3 linked regions of the Canis lupus familiaris genome follow. The protein of the gene in region 3 purifies or fractionates together with the protein of the main gene of each other region. This does not show direct contact. Links are inferred from orthologs where the notes say so. Each region holds a gene or a part of one and is shown on either strand. Other genes may lie near its edges.

What was found.
Region 1: the proteins of ENG (region 3) and ACVRL1 purify together in Homo sapiens (affinity purification with western blotting; 3 studies listed by BioGRID and IntAct, with this or other methods). This does not show direct contact. The link is inferred for Canis lupus familiaris from reciprocal best matches to the Homo sapiens genes ENG and ACVRL1.
Region 2: the proteins of ENG (region 3) and TGFBR1 purify together in Homo sapiens (affinity purification with western blotting; 5 studies listed by BioGRID and IntAct, with this or other methods). This does not show direct contact. The link is inferred for Canis lupus familiaris from reciprocal best matches to the Homo sapiens genes ENG and TGFBR1.

The regions. Positions count from the first base shown.
Region 1 is NC_049248.1:43,574,600-43,578,246, reverse strand, and holds part of ACVRL1 (serine/threonine-protein kinase receptor R3), read right to left. Parts: intron 2,874-3,647; exon of another isoform or gene 2,615-2,873; intron 2,325-2,614; coding exon 2,194-2,324; intron 1,021-2,193; coding exon 886-1,020; 3' UTR 1-885. UniProt on the Homo sapiens protein: Type I receptor for TGF-beta family ligands BMP9/GDF2 and BMP10 and important regulator of normal blood vessel development. On ligand binding, forms a receptor complex consisting of two type II and two type I transmembrane serine/threonine kinases.
Region 2 is NC_049232.1:56,544,885-56,548,531, reverse strand, and holds part of TGFBR1 (TGF-beta receptor type-1), read right to left. Parts: intron 3,445-3,647; coding exon 3,288-3,444; intron 1,453-3,287; coding exon 1,328-1,452; intron 1-1,327. UniProt on the Homo sapiens protein: Transmembrane serine/threonine kinase forming with the TGF-beta type II serine/threonine kinase receptor, TGFBR2, the non-promiscuous receptor for the TGF-beta cytokines TGFB1, TGFB2 and TGFB3.
Region 3 is NC_049230.1:55,645,099-55,649,214, reverse strand, and holds the start of ENG (endoglin), read right to left. Parts: upstream 2,862-4,116; 5' UTR 2,585-2,861; coding exon 2,518-2,584; intron 1-2,517. UniProt on the Homo sapiens protein: Vascular endothelium glycoprotein that plays an important role in the regulation of angiogenesis. Required for normal structure and integrity of adult vasculature. Regulates the migration of vascular endothelial cells.

The DNA.
Region 1 (3,647 bases), on a different chromosome or scaffold from region 3:
CAAAGGGCATCAGGACTGTATCTCAATATGTAGATGAGGAAACAAAGGTCCTCCAGAGTGAAGGCCTCTTTCTCATCACCTAGGGCAATTGCCCAGGACCAGGACCTGGGTCTCCTGACTCCCAGCGGAGCCATTCCCCAGGTCTGCTCGGCTTCAACGTCTCTCTGGTTCTGAAAGTCCTGGGCCTCCTCCATCTGACCTACTACCTGCCCCACTGCCCTCTGACCCTGCCACACCTGCAGCAGGACTCCTTGGGCTTAATGCTGTAATAAGTGAGCTAGCACAGGGGTGGGGAAGGGGCCCAGGATCAGGCCCCAGCTCTCCCAGGCAGCTGGCACTCAGCTCACCCAGAAGACAGAGGCCGTAGGCCTCATGGAGCTGAGATACAAACCCACAGAGAGAAAATGATGGGCCCTGGGTGTAGGGCTTATGCCAGAGGCAGGCTGTCCACCAAAGGCTAGACAGGGCCCTGTGTCACCCTGGCAGCTCCGGTGGGGCCGTGAGGTTGACCGAGGGCAGGGGGTAAAGTGCAGGCCTGGGCTCTGGGCCCAGGACTGGGATTCCCTGGCCCGGCCACCCTGGCTCCGGGGCCTCTTTGCATCCTGTCCTGGGGGTGGTAGGGGCTGCGCCCAGGGCATGAGGGTGGGGAGGGAGCCAGGCGTCAGGGAGCCTGCTGCTTTGAGCAGGCCAGACGGCGGGGGATCGGGTTTCAGCCCAGCTGTATTTTTGGCTGGATGAGCCGGCGGGGCAGGCAGGGCCGCCCAAAGAGGGGCACCCTCCTCCCCAGCACACATACTCACACTACCTCTACCCAGATAGGCCACGTCTGCCGCCCACCCCACGCGCGCTCTGCAGGCAGAGGGGAGTCCGGCTTCAGGCCTGGGGCTAGTGAATCACTTTGGACTTCTCGAGACCGTTGCTCAGTTTCTGTAGTGTCTTCTTGATCCGCAGCGCAGTGAGGCGGGCAGAGGGGTTGGGGTACCAGCACTCCCGCATCATCTGAGCCAGGCCGGAGAGGACCTGCAGAGGAGAGGAAGCGGAGACGCGGGTCAGGGAAGCTGAGCAGGCGGTGACACGGAGGGTGCCCCGGGACAGAGAGACATAAGCAGGACAGAAAGGGCGGGAAGAGGGAGATGGGAGTGTTGAGGATGGGAAGAGGAAAGCCTGCGAGGTGAGGGGGGGAATGGAGGCAAGGATGAGAGGAGAGACCCAAAGATGGAAGATGAAGGCAGTGGGGACGGGGGAAGGCAGCAGGCAGGGCAGGAGGAGAGCTGGAACTCAGCTCTTCGGGCGCACCCAGGCCCCCTTTGGTGAGGAGTGTCTGTGGAACACCTTACACCCACCCCACCCACCTCCCCCAAGATCCGAGGATTGGGAGATGTGCAAGCCCGGGGGCTCCCCTCTGCTCTCGGCCCGGCGTGGAGGGCACGGACTCTCCCAGCGCCTCCTCCAGCCCCGCCTGGGCCCCCTGGAGGAGTGTCCAGGACGAAGCCATCCCAGGAAGCTCAGTGGCCCCAGAGTGAGCCAGCCTCTCCTCCATCCCAAAACTCAAGCTGGCCTGAGTGTACGTGTGTGTGCCTAGCAGCGCATATATGGGGCTGTTTATGGATAAGCATGTTGTACAGAAACACGCGTGTGTCTATGCACATGTACGTACATACATGTACTTTCCTTCCTTCCGGAAACACTGGTTGAGCACTCATTTGTGTGCCAGCCCGGGGACAGATAACAGGGATATAAGGTGGCAAGGGAGACACGTTCTTCGTCTTCAGAGGGCCGAGAGTCTGGCATGGATGCGCATGCCTGTGTGAGGACGTGTTCGTGCAGAGGCAGGTGCCCGCCTTTATGCGTCCACGTCCACGTGTGTATGTGTCTTATATGCATGTGGAGCGTTTTGAGAAAATAACGAAAACAGCAACAAGTTCAGAGCAAGAAATGCGGCAGAGAGGCTGACTTTTCACCACGAGATAGAAGGTTCTGAAATATCTCCGAGTAACCCAAATCTCGGGGTTCTGCAGGCCAGGGATGTGGGAGGGAGGACCCAGGGAGGTACCCTGGCATCTCTCCTCCGGAATCCATGCAGGTGAAGCAGAGACCTCAGGTACGTGTTCCCGGGGCCAGAACTCCCAGCTGTGAGCCCCTACCCCATGGCATCCCCAGGCCCCCACGCCCCCGCCCCCGCGGAGGCCTCACCGGGTCTGCGGCCAGCCGGTTGGGGATGGTGGGAGTCTGCTGATCAACACACACCACCTTCTTCATGTCCTCGAAGCTGGGATCATTGGGCACCACGTCATAGAAGGGTGGCCTGTAGTCCTCCACGATGCCTGAGGATGGCGGGGGGACGGACAGTCACTCGGCACCCCAAGAAGACCCCATTCCATCCCGAGGAGAGCCTTGCCCCACCTTCTGCCCCAGGGTGCAGAAAACCAGTTGTCTTACCCGTGTAAGACACGGGCCACGATAACATCATCAATATATTTTCAAAGAATAAGGATTACGGCTGTTGATTTTGCGCTCACCAGGTGCCAGGCATTGTGCTATGAACACTTTCATGCTTTATCTCGTTCGTCTTTGCGACAACCCCACGGGTATTACCGTAACCTCTATTTTACAGATGAAGAAACTGATGCTCGAGGAAGTGGAGCCCAAGGTTACACAGCCAGGAAAGGCAGAGTCAAGGCCTGAACTCCTCTCGTCGATTCCTCAGCCGGACCCTGTTCCGGTCTCTCCACGCTGCCTCCCACCCCGGGCCTGGGCACCACTCCCAGGCCCCAACTATCACAGATGCCCGATAAAAACATGGACTGGGCACGTACGCTGTGCCAGGCACTGTCCCGGCCGCACTGCATTAAATCCTCACAGCAACCCCGTAAGTCGCACTACCAGCTCCACTCTATGGACAATGCAACTAAGGCCAGAGGGGTGAGGAAACTCGTCTAAAAGCACACAGGTAGCGCGTGACTGAGCTAAGATTTAAGCCCAGATGGTCTGCACATTCTTGACCTGGGAGCAGTGCCGAAGGGAGGGGAGCTGGCCTGCTCTGGGGGGACGAGGTGGCGCGAGGAGAAAGGGACTTTTACCCAGGTCCATGTAACAGCCACCCCGTCCCAGAGATGGCACAGGCCTCGCTGCGTCCCCTCGCCATCCCTTAGCGGAGCCTTCTCGAAATGCTGCCTGGGGAGCCGCCCACAGCTCAGGCAGGAGAGGCCAGGCCCAGAGAAGGTGCCCCGGGCACCCCCTGCTCCCGGCCTGAGGCTGGGGGCCGTGGCCCCGCAGCCGCAACCTCAGTCGAGCCTCCGCCAGCTGTTCTCCCCGTGGCGGGCTTCCAGGCCGGCCCCTGTGCCGCTCCGGCCCTAATCAGCGCTGCACAGAGGCCTGAGCGTGTCTAATGGGCCTTTAATCAGCGCCGGGGCTGACACCAGATTACAGTGTTTATAATGCGCCACGAATCTGTGTGGGGCTTTCAGAGCTTCCCTCCGCCCCAGGAGCCTGCAGTCAGCCTTCCCGTCGGCCCTGGCCGGCCCAGCCTTCCCTTCCTGCCCGCACCGGTCCCTCCAGGTGTCCCTTCCGCAGCCCCAGTCTTCAGACCCTACACAGGGAGTTCACATCTGAAGGGCCAGGAATCTGAGCCCCTAGAGAGTCTCCCA
Region 2 (3,647 bases), on a different chromosome or scaffold from region 3:
CAACAAGCATCAACAACCCATCTCTCTGAGTTGGTACTGGGCCCACACTCTGAAACTACATATCACTAGGGGATCAGCAAAGGCTATTTTAATGACGGTTAACTATGAGCTATGATGACTTGATTAACATTTTCACCTCATGTGCAAGAAATGATAGTTTTTAACCTGTGAGTGCTCACCCTCTCACTTGGTACAGGGGATATACACTCTACCATGGAGATGTAAATCCTACAAGCAAATCTGGGGTGCAAGTCCTTTACCTCTACTTGGATCTGTCCTCTTTGCTATATAATACAGAGACATGCTCTCCCTCTTATTGCCACATAAACCCAAGTCTCAACCAAGCCTGGGCCCCTAAGTATAAGAAACTATTCCGCAAGTAAATATTAAAAGTGCTCAATCTAAAACTAAATTTCAGCTAAAATAAACTTGTTTAAAAACTAGTGTAATGGTAATGTAACTGTATTCTGTATATGTAACTTCCAGCTAAGAAGTTGGAGAAAATAACACACTCTCAGGGGGGAAAATGAGTTTGACCCAGGTACATGCTGTAGAAACAGCTTCCTGGGTGGCCTCTCAAGCAGTCATCCATTATAAATAACTATATTCCAAGATAACAAGGGCTTGGTTTCTCATGTTTCCCAAGATTCAAATGGAAATAGAAAAAGAATACACTAGAATAAGCATGTCATATCATGTCATTTCCCCCCACTGCAAATTTTATCTCCATTATTTTCTTTGGCACTCTCAGTGATCACCTGGTGAATATAATTTCTGACTACTAATGTGTATAATTTCATTCAATGAAAAAAACCAAACAAACAAACAAACAAAAACACGACAGGGGTGCCTGGGTGGCTCAGTCAGTTAAGCATCTGCCTTCGGCTCCAGTCATGATCCCAGGGTCCTGGCATTGAACCCCGCATTGGGCTCCCTGATCAGTGAGGAGTCTTCTCCTTCTCCCACTCATCCTGCTTGTGATTGCTCTCTACCACCATCTCTCAGTGTCAAATAAATAAATAAAAATCGTAAAGGGAATCCCTGGGTGGTTCAGTGGCTTAGTGCCTGCCTTTGGCCCAGAGCGTGATCCTGGAGTCCCAGGATGGAGTCCCATGTCGGGCTTCTGCGTGGAGCCTGCTTCTCCCTCTGCCTGTGTCTCTGCCTCTGTGTGTGTGTGTGTGTGTGTGTGTGTGTGTGTGTGTGTCTCTCATGAATAAAAAAATAAAATCTTAAAAAAAAAAAATCTTAAAGAAAAAAAAAAAAAGCGGCTATCCTGGACCACCTTTTCTGTTCATGACAAACTGTTGGGAGAGGGGGAGAAATTTACCACCAATGGAACATCGTCGAGCTATTTCCCAGAATACTAAGCCCATTGCATAGATGTCGGCACGTTTGAAGGATTCAAAGTGTTTCATATTTATGGAATCATCTAGAACTTCGGGGGCCATATACCTAAAAAAGAAGTCAGCAATTTACTTTATGGAATAGTAGCCATACTACTTTTGAACTGTTTCACATATTTTCTTTTCCTACTGAGAATTTTTTTTATATATATTTTTTAAATTGGTATTAACTTTAAGACTTTTCTTCCCTTTTAGCATGGTTCTGCTTTTTAAAATGACTCATGCTTCTTATAGAAATTTTCTCAAAGTTCAAAAAGTACAAAGTGAAAAATCATTAATGCTTTGATGAACAACCTTTCAGGTATCTCTATTCATATATGGAGATACACACACACACACACACACACACACACACACACACAATATTATATAACTAAAATATTAGACTCAAGAAAAATATTAAATATCCACACTGCTTTGAAAATTAATGATGTCAACTAAATGCCATGAAAAGCTGAAACAGCAATTTCATGCTATCTTATCTGCCTTATGATCTTCATTTCCAATGAAAGACACCTATATAACAATCATGACTATTATAAATGTCTTAACATATACCACCCACTTTGTCAAATACTATGCAGGGATCATATATTTTAATCTAGAAGTCTTCTCACTAAAATAGGATGAAAAGGAAGGATGAGGACATAATCCAGGGAACAAAATAATAGATTAAAAAATGAATGCCAGTCCTCCTACTGATGCCTCATTGTAGGGTTTTGGAATTTTAAAAACCCTCCTGAAGTTACAGATCAGGATCCATGAAGAACTGTAGCAATCACTGTCTTGAATCCCCACATCAAGAGTTCTGAGAGTCCTCGTCAAATCCAGAAATCACAGATACAACTGAGATAGAATAAAGCTTGGCTCTATCCAAGGTGGAGGCAATAGTGTGAAGATACATTGTGGCAACATGCTGTGATATACACACTAAGGCCTTTGGGGTCAGAAAGGCCTAAATTCAAATCTCAGCTCTTCAGGTGAGGCTGACCTTTTTATTTAACATCTATGGGGCTGTTTCCTCTTCTGTGAAATGAAGGCAATGACACCTACCTAGTTATGTTCTTTAGAAAACTCATAGATTCAACAAATATTTACTAAGGACTTACTATGCATTAGGTGCTATAATGGATGCTGGGAATACAAGCCTGATCTCAAGCAGCTTGCAATCCAATGGAATATAAAGACAAGTAAATGGAGAGTTATAATGTGCTCAGTGCCTTAATGGCCCAGCTTCACAGCTTGCTATGAGAGCCCCTGGGAAGGGCGCCTCACAGTCCAGGAAGGGCTTCCTCTAGGAAAGGAAGGGTGACTATAAATCAGGGAAACAAGACAATAAAGCTTTTTGCAGCAAAAAAAAATAAAAAAATAAAAAAAATAAACCAGGGAAACAGCAGGACAAAGTCTGCTCTAGGATACAACACATGCAGAAATTCTAAGGAAGAAAGTATAGTTCCAGGAACTAAAAATAAGAAAATAGTTGGGCTAGCTACAGTACAGCATTTGAAGAGAGCATTAACTGAGAGAATGAATATATATATATATATATATATATATTAAGCAAGAACCAAGCATATATATATGTATGACCCATTAAAATGACTGGCACATACTGGGTACCCTATAAACATCAGCTCCTATTATTATTATAATTTTTCTGGAAGGGCCACGAATGATATTTTCTGGAAGGGCCACCTTTCATCAGCAGGCATCTTTAAAAGTCAGGTAACCTTGGCTTCAGAGCAGGCAAGACCATGAGATCTTCTACCTGTGGGCAATCTAATAAAGTACAGGTTTGAGTTTCAGAAGATAATCCACATAAATGAGAAGGAAATTAAAAAGAAGTTGAGCTCAGAAGATAATAAACACTATTTACAAGCATACCTTTTTGTTCCCACTCTGTGATTTGGAGCAATATCAATGGTATCTGTGGCTGAATCATGTCTCACTGCCAGTCCTAAGTCTGCAATACAGCAAGTTCCATTCTTCTTTACCAAGATATTCTTAGATTTCAAATCTCTATGAGCAATGGCTGGTTTCCCTAAAGAAACAAAAAGTAAATGCAATTGCTTAAAAAGTGATAGCAATCACAATTCTCCCCTTTAGGTTCAAAGCCTCTTCTCCTATCCCAGTGTCAAAGCATTTCAGCCCATAATACCTGGACAATTACTAAACAACCTCAAATGAATCATTATATCAAAAGTTGCTGAAATTATATTTATTCAAAGAAAATGGAGAAAATAA
Region 3 (4,116 bases):
TCGGGCTCCCGGTGCATGGAGCCTGCTTCTCCCTCTGCCTGTGTCTCTGCCTCTCTATCTATCTATCTATCTATCATTATGAATAAATAAAAAATCTTTAAAAAAATAAAAATAATAAAAAAAATAAACACAGCCATTGTTAAAAATTAAATTGTGGGGCACCCTGATGGCTCAGTAGGTTAAGCGTTTGCCTTCAGCTCATGATCCTATGGTTCTGGGATCGAGCCCTGCGTTGGGCTCCCTGCTTAGCAGGGGAGTCTGCTTCTCCCTCTCTCTCTGCCCCTCTTTCTCTCTCTCTCAAGTAAATAAATAATATCTTTTTAAAAAAAATAAATTTTGGGGCACCTGGCTGGCTCAGTCAGTGGAGTATATGACTCTTGATCTCTGGGTTGTAGGTTTGAGCCCCACATTGGGTGTAGGGATTACTTAAAAATAAAATCTTAGGGGATTCCTGGGTGGCTCAGCGGTTTAGCGCCTGCCTTTGGCCTAGAGCATGGTCCTGGAACCCCAGGATCAAGTCCCACATGGGGCTCCTGCATGGAGCCTACTTTTCCCTCTGCCTGTGTCTCCACCTCTCTGTCTCTCTCTGTCTCTAATGAATAAATAAGTAAAATATTAAAAAAAATAAAATAAAATCTTAAAAAATTAAATTTTAGGGGCCCCTGGGTGGCTCAGTGGATGAGCATCTGCCTTTGGCTCAGATCGTGATCCCAGGTCCTGGGATCGAGTCCCACATCAGGCTCACTGCAGGGAAACTGTTTCTCCCTCTGCCTATGTCTCCGCCTCTCTCTCTGTTTCTCATGAATAAATAAAATCTTTTAAAATAATTTAAGTTTTACAAGCTTAAAAATAAATTACATTTTAAAAATGGTAATAAATGTCAAAACTCACTATTTCCTAGCTATTTTGCTCCATTTTTCTAAACCTATGCTCTTGAGGTCAGATGTCTGTTGCATCTGTGTGGCAAAGATACCAAAGGGTCTATGGACACCGCATCCCAACTGCAAGGTTGGTGAGTTGGTAGCTTGCAATCAGCCATGTGAGAACATTAATACCCTGGACATTAACAAACACTATCCCCAACACCCTCCACCCCTGTTGTTAATTATTTGCCAGCACACCATTGCTTTCCATCCCATAGAACCAGACCCTAAAGCTCTACACAGATCTTTCTCTGATGAGATGAAGAAGACAGTGTTATCAAGTTAGACACGTGGGGGAGGCAGGAGAAAGGGCAGCCTGGAGGCCTATCGTGGAGCCCAGGTAGGCTTCTGTCTAAGCTGTGTGAACCTGGCAGGTACAGCCTCTACTTCCTCTCCTGTGAAATGTGGAGATAAAGGCAGCCATCTTACCGGGTTTCGGGGAGCTCTATGGGGGTGGAGGGTGCGTATTACACATGCTTAGGAACCACAAGCCTAGGGTGAAATCTGTGCTCGGTCACTTAATGTCTGAGACAGTTTCCTGTGATCAGTAAGACAGGGGTAGGCGTTTAGAGACCAAGAACTAGGGGCTTTAAAGTCCACAGGTTGGGATCAGGTGGGGAGGGTGGCCACTGCTGTGCTCTTCCCCTACACTCTCTCCTCCCCACCCCCAGATCCTTTAGACAGTTTCTGGATGTGCCATAGATGAAGGGTGCCCACCGGGCTGTCCTGCGGAGTGGACACAGCGAGGCCGGCATGAGTGGGATGAGAGTGGGATGAAGGTCTGGAGTCCCCAGCTCCTCATGGTCCCTCATCTGGTCACTTTTGGAAGGCCGCAGAACCATGACCACCTGGGAAAGCCCCCAGACAGAGAAGCCCCTGCAGAGCCCTGGGCCCGTGTCCCCACCCTGCAGCATCTTGAGGAAGAGAAAGTAAGTAGAGACAGAGGGAGAGCCCTATGTTCAAGAATGTTCTGGGAGCCGCTCAGGGGCCCTGGGGAGGTGAGAGGCAGGAATTTAAAGCGAATCATAAAGCCTCAATAACAACACAGAATCCTCCAGCCCGCTCTGGAGCTCGCTCTCTAAGCATGGCCTCACCACCGGCCCCCCAGCTGCCCCAGAGGAGTTCCGTTGCCATCCCTGCTCAGCTCAGAGGCCCAAAGGTAGTCCCCCCAACATCACACCAGGAGGAAGTAACCACGTGAGTTTTGAACCAAGAGCCTTAGTGCTGACTGCGAATCCACAGGCCCTCCTTCCCACGGGTTCCTCAGATGGGAACCTGAAGGCCCAGAGAGGGCAGGAGGCCCTCCCCCGACTGCACACACTCTGCGACCTAGGCTTTCTGGGGAGAAACTAGACTTAGCTGGTAGGGCAGAGGCCAGAGGCCGGGATTAAGGCAAATAACTCATCCCTTTATGCTTGAGACTTTTAGGGCTGAAAGTTCTCTATCTAGCCAAGACGGGATGGTGGGTACCCCCCTCTGGTGTCCAAGCCCCCCAGTACAGCCCCACTGGGCATGAGGTCAGGACCAGGAGAGATGCCGGGAGCACATGGGGCCGAGGGTCCCCCACCCCACCCCAGGGTCCCCCGACACCTACCTGTATGTCTGAGGCTGCAGATGGCCAGGAGTAGGGCGACGACCAGGGGAAGCGCGGTGCGGTCCATGCGGTCCACCAGGGGGTCTGCGCACGGGGCCTTATCCGGTGTCCAGGGGCAGGGCTGCGGGTGGGTGTGGGGGCCGGCGTGGGCGCGAGCGGGGACCCGAGGGGAACAGGCGGCCGGAGCGACGGCGTCCCCGCTCCAGCCTTCTGAGGTGGCGGCGGAGGGGTCAGGAGAAGTGGGCACAGGGGCGCCGGGCCGGCCGGGGGTCACGGCCAGAGGATGAGCAGGGCGGTGGAGGCGGAGGCGGCAGCGGCAGGTCCGGGCCTGGGGATGCAGCTGGAGGCTGGGGGGTCTGACAGGCAGCGGTGGGGAGCTCCGGGCTCATCCAGGCCGGCCTGGGAGGCAGGAAATGCGCTTCCTTAGAGAAGGGGCCGGGCCAGGCGGCCTGCCAGGCACGCAGAGGAAGTGCCACGGGCTTTGTCGCTGGGTGGGGAGCCCTCGGGCTGGGGGGGGAGTTGCGGGGGGTGGGGGGGGGAGTGGGAGGGCCCAGGCTCCAGGCTGGTCTCCCTATGCACCCCACCCTCCCATCCCACCCCCTGAAGGGCCAGCTGCTGGGGCGCATCTGGCAGCCCCCAAAGCGCCGATGAAAATGATCACCCTAACAGCCCACCAAGGAGCCGTTCCAGGCCAGGCCCTGGCCAAGGAGGCCCAGGTGGAGCTTATAGTTCTTGAACTCAGTTGTCCCCATTCTGCAGATGAGAAAACAGAGGTCTGATGAGGTGAGATAATTGGCCCTGAAAGATGGATTTGATTAGGTGTCATCAAGCACCAAGCTTACATTAGCCTGCCACTGGCTTGTCGTTTCTTGCTTTGCAGGCGGGGAAACTAAGGCATGGGATATGGAAGGAACACTCCCAAGTGCCAGCTGGGGCTGAGAGGCCTCAGGGCCCAGGGAGGATAGGAAACACTAGGTCTGCCCCCTTCAAGGGTGGAAAATCCTCCAGGGACAAAAGCCCCAGATGAAAAAGCCCCTGATGGCCTTCCTGAGGTCAGACGGCCCTGGATTCAAAGCCCTGCTCTCCTTACTCTGACCTTCAAGACCTCGAGCAAGTTTCCACAACCCTCCTCACCCTGTTTGTCAAGTGGGCACAATGGTGCCTTCCCAGCCATGCGGCTATGGGATCTGGGGAGGTCTGGGCACCAGGACAATGCGCTTAGGCCTGAACAGGAAGCACTCTCCCATGAGCCTGGGAGACAGTGTCAGAACTGGCCCTTAGTTCATTCTGCAAACAGTAAGTGCCAACTGTGTGCCCACATGGCGTTAGTCACAGGTGGCACCTGGGGGTCGGGTCAAGGGAGCCCAGAGGAAGCAGCCTGAACTGCCTGGCCTTTGAAGGACTTGGTGCGTGGGGGAGAGATGCAGAAGAAGGGGGTAAAGCGGGTCCGTTGGGCAGGGGACCAGCCCCAGCAAAGGCGCGATGCAGGAAGTGGTCGGACTGCTGTGGGACATGCAGGGGTGTGGTGGGGACAGGAAGGCTGGAGAGGCAGACTCTGGGCCGGGTTCTGGAGAGACGCCTTGAATGAAGGCCAAGGAA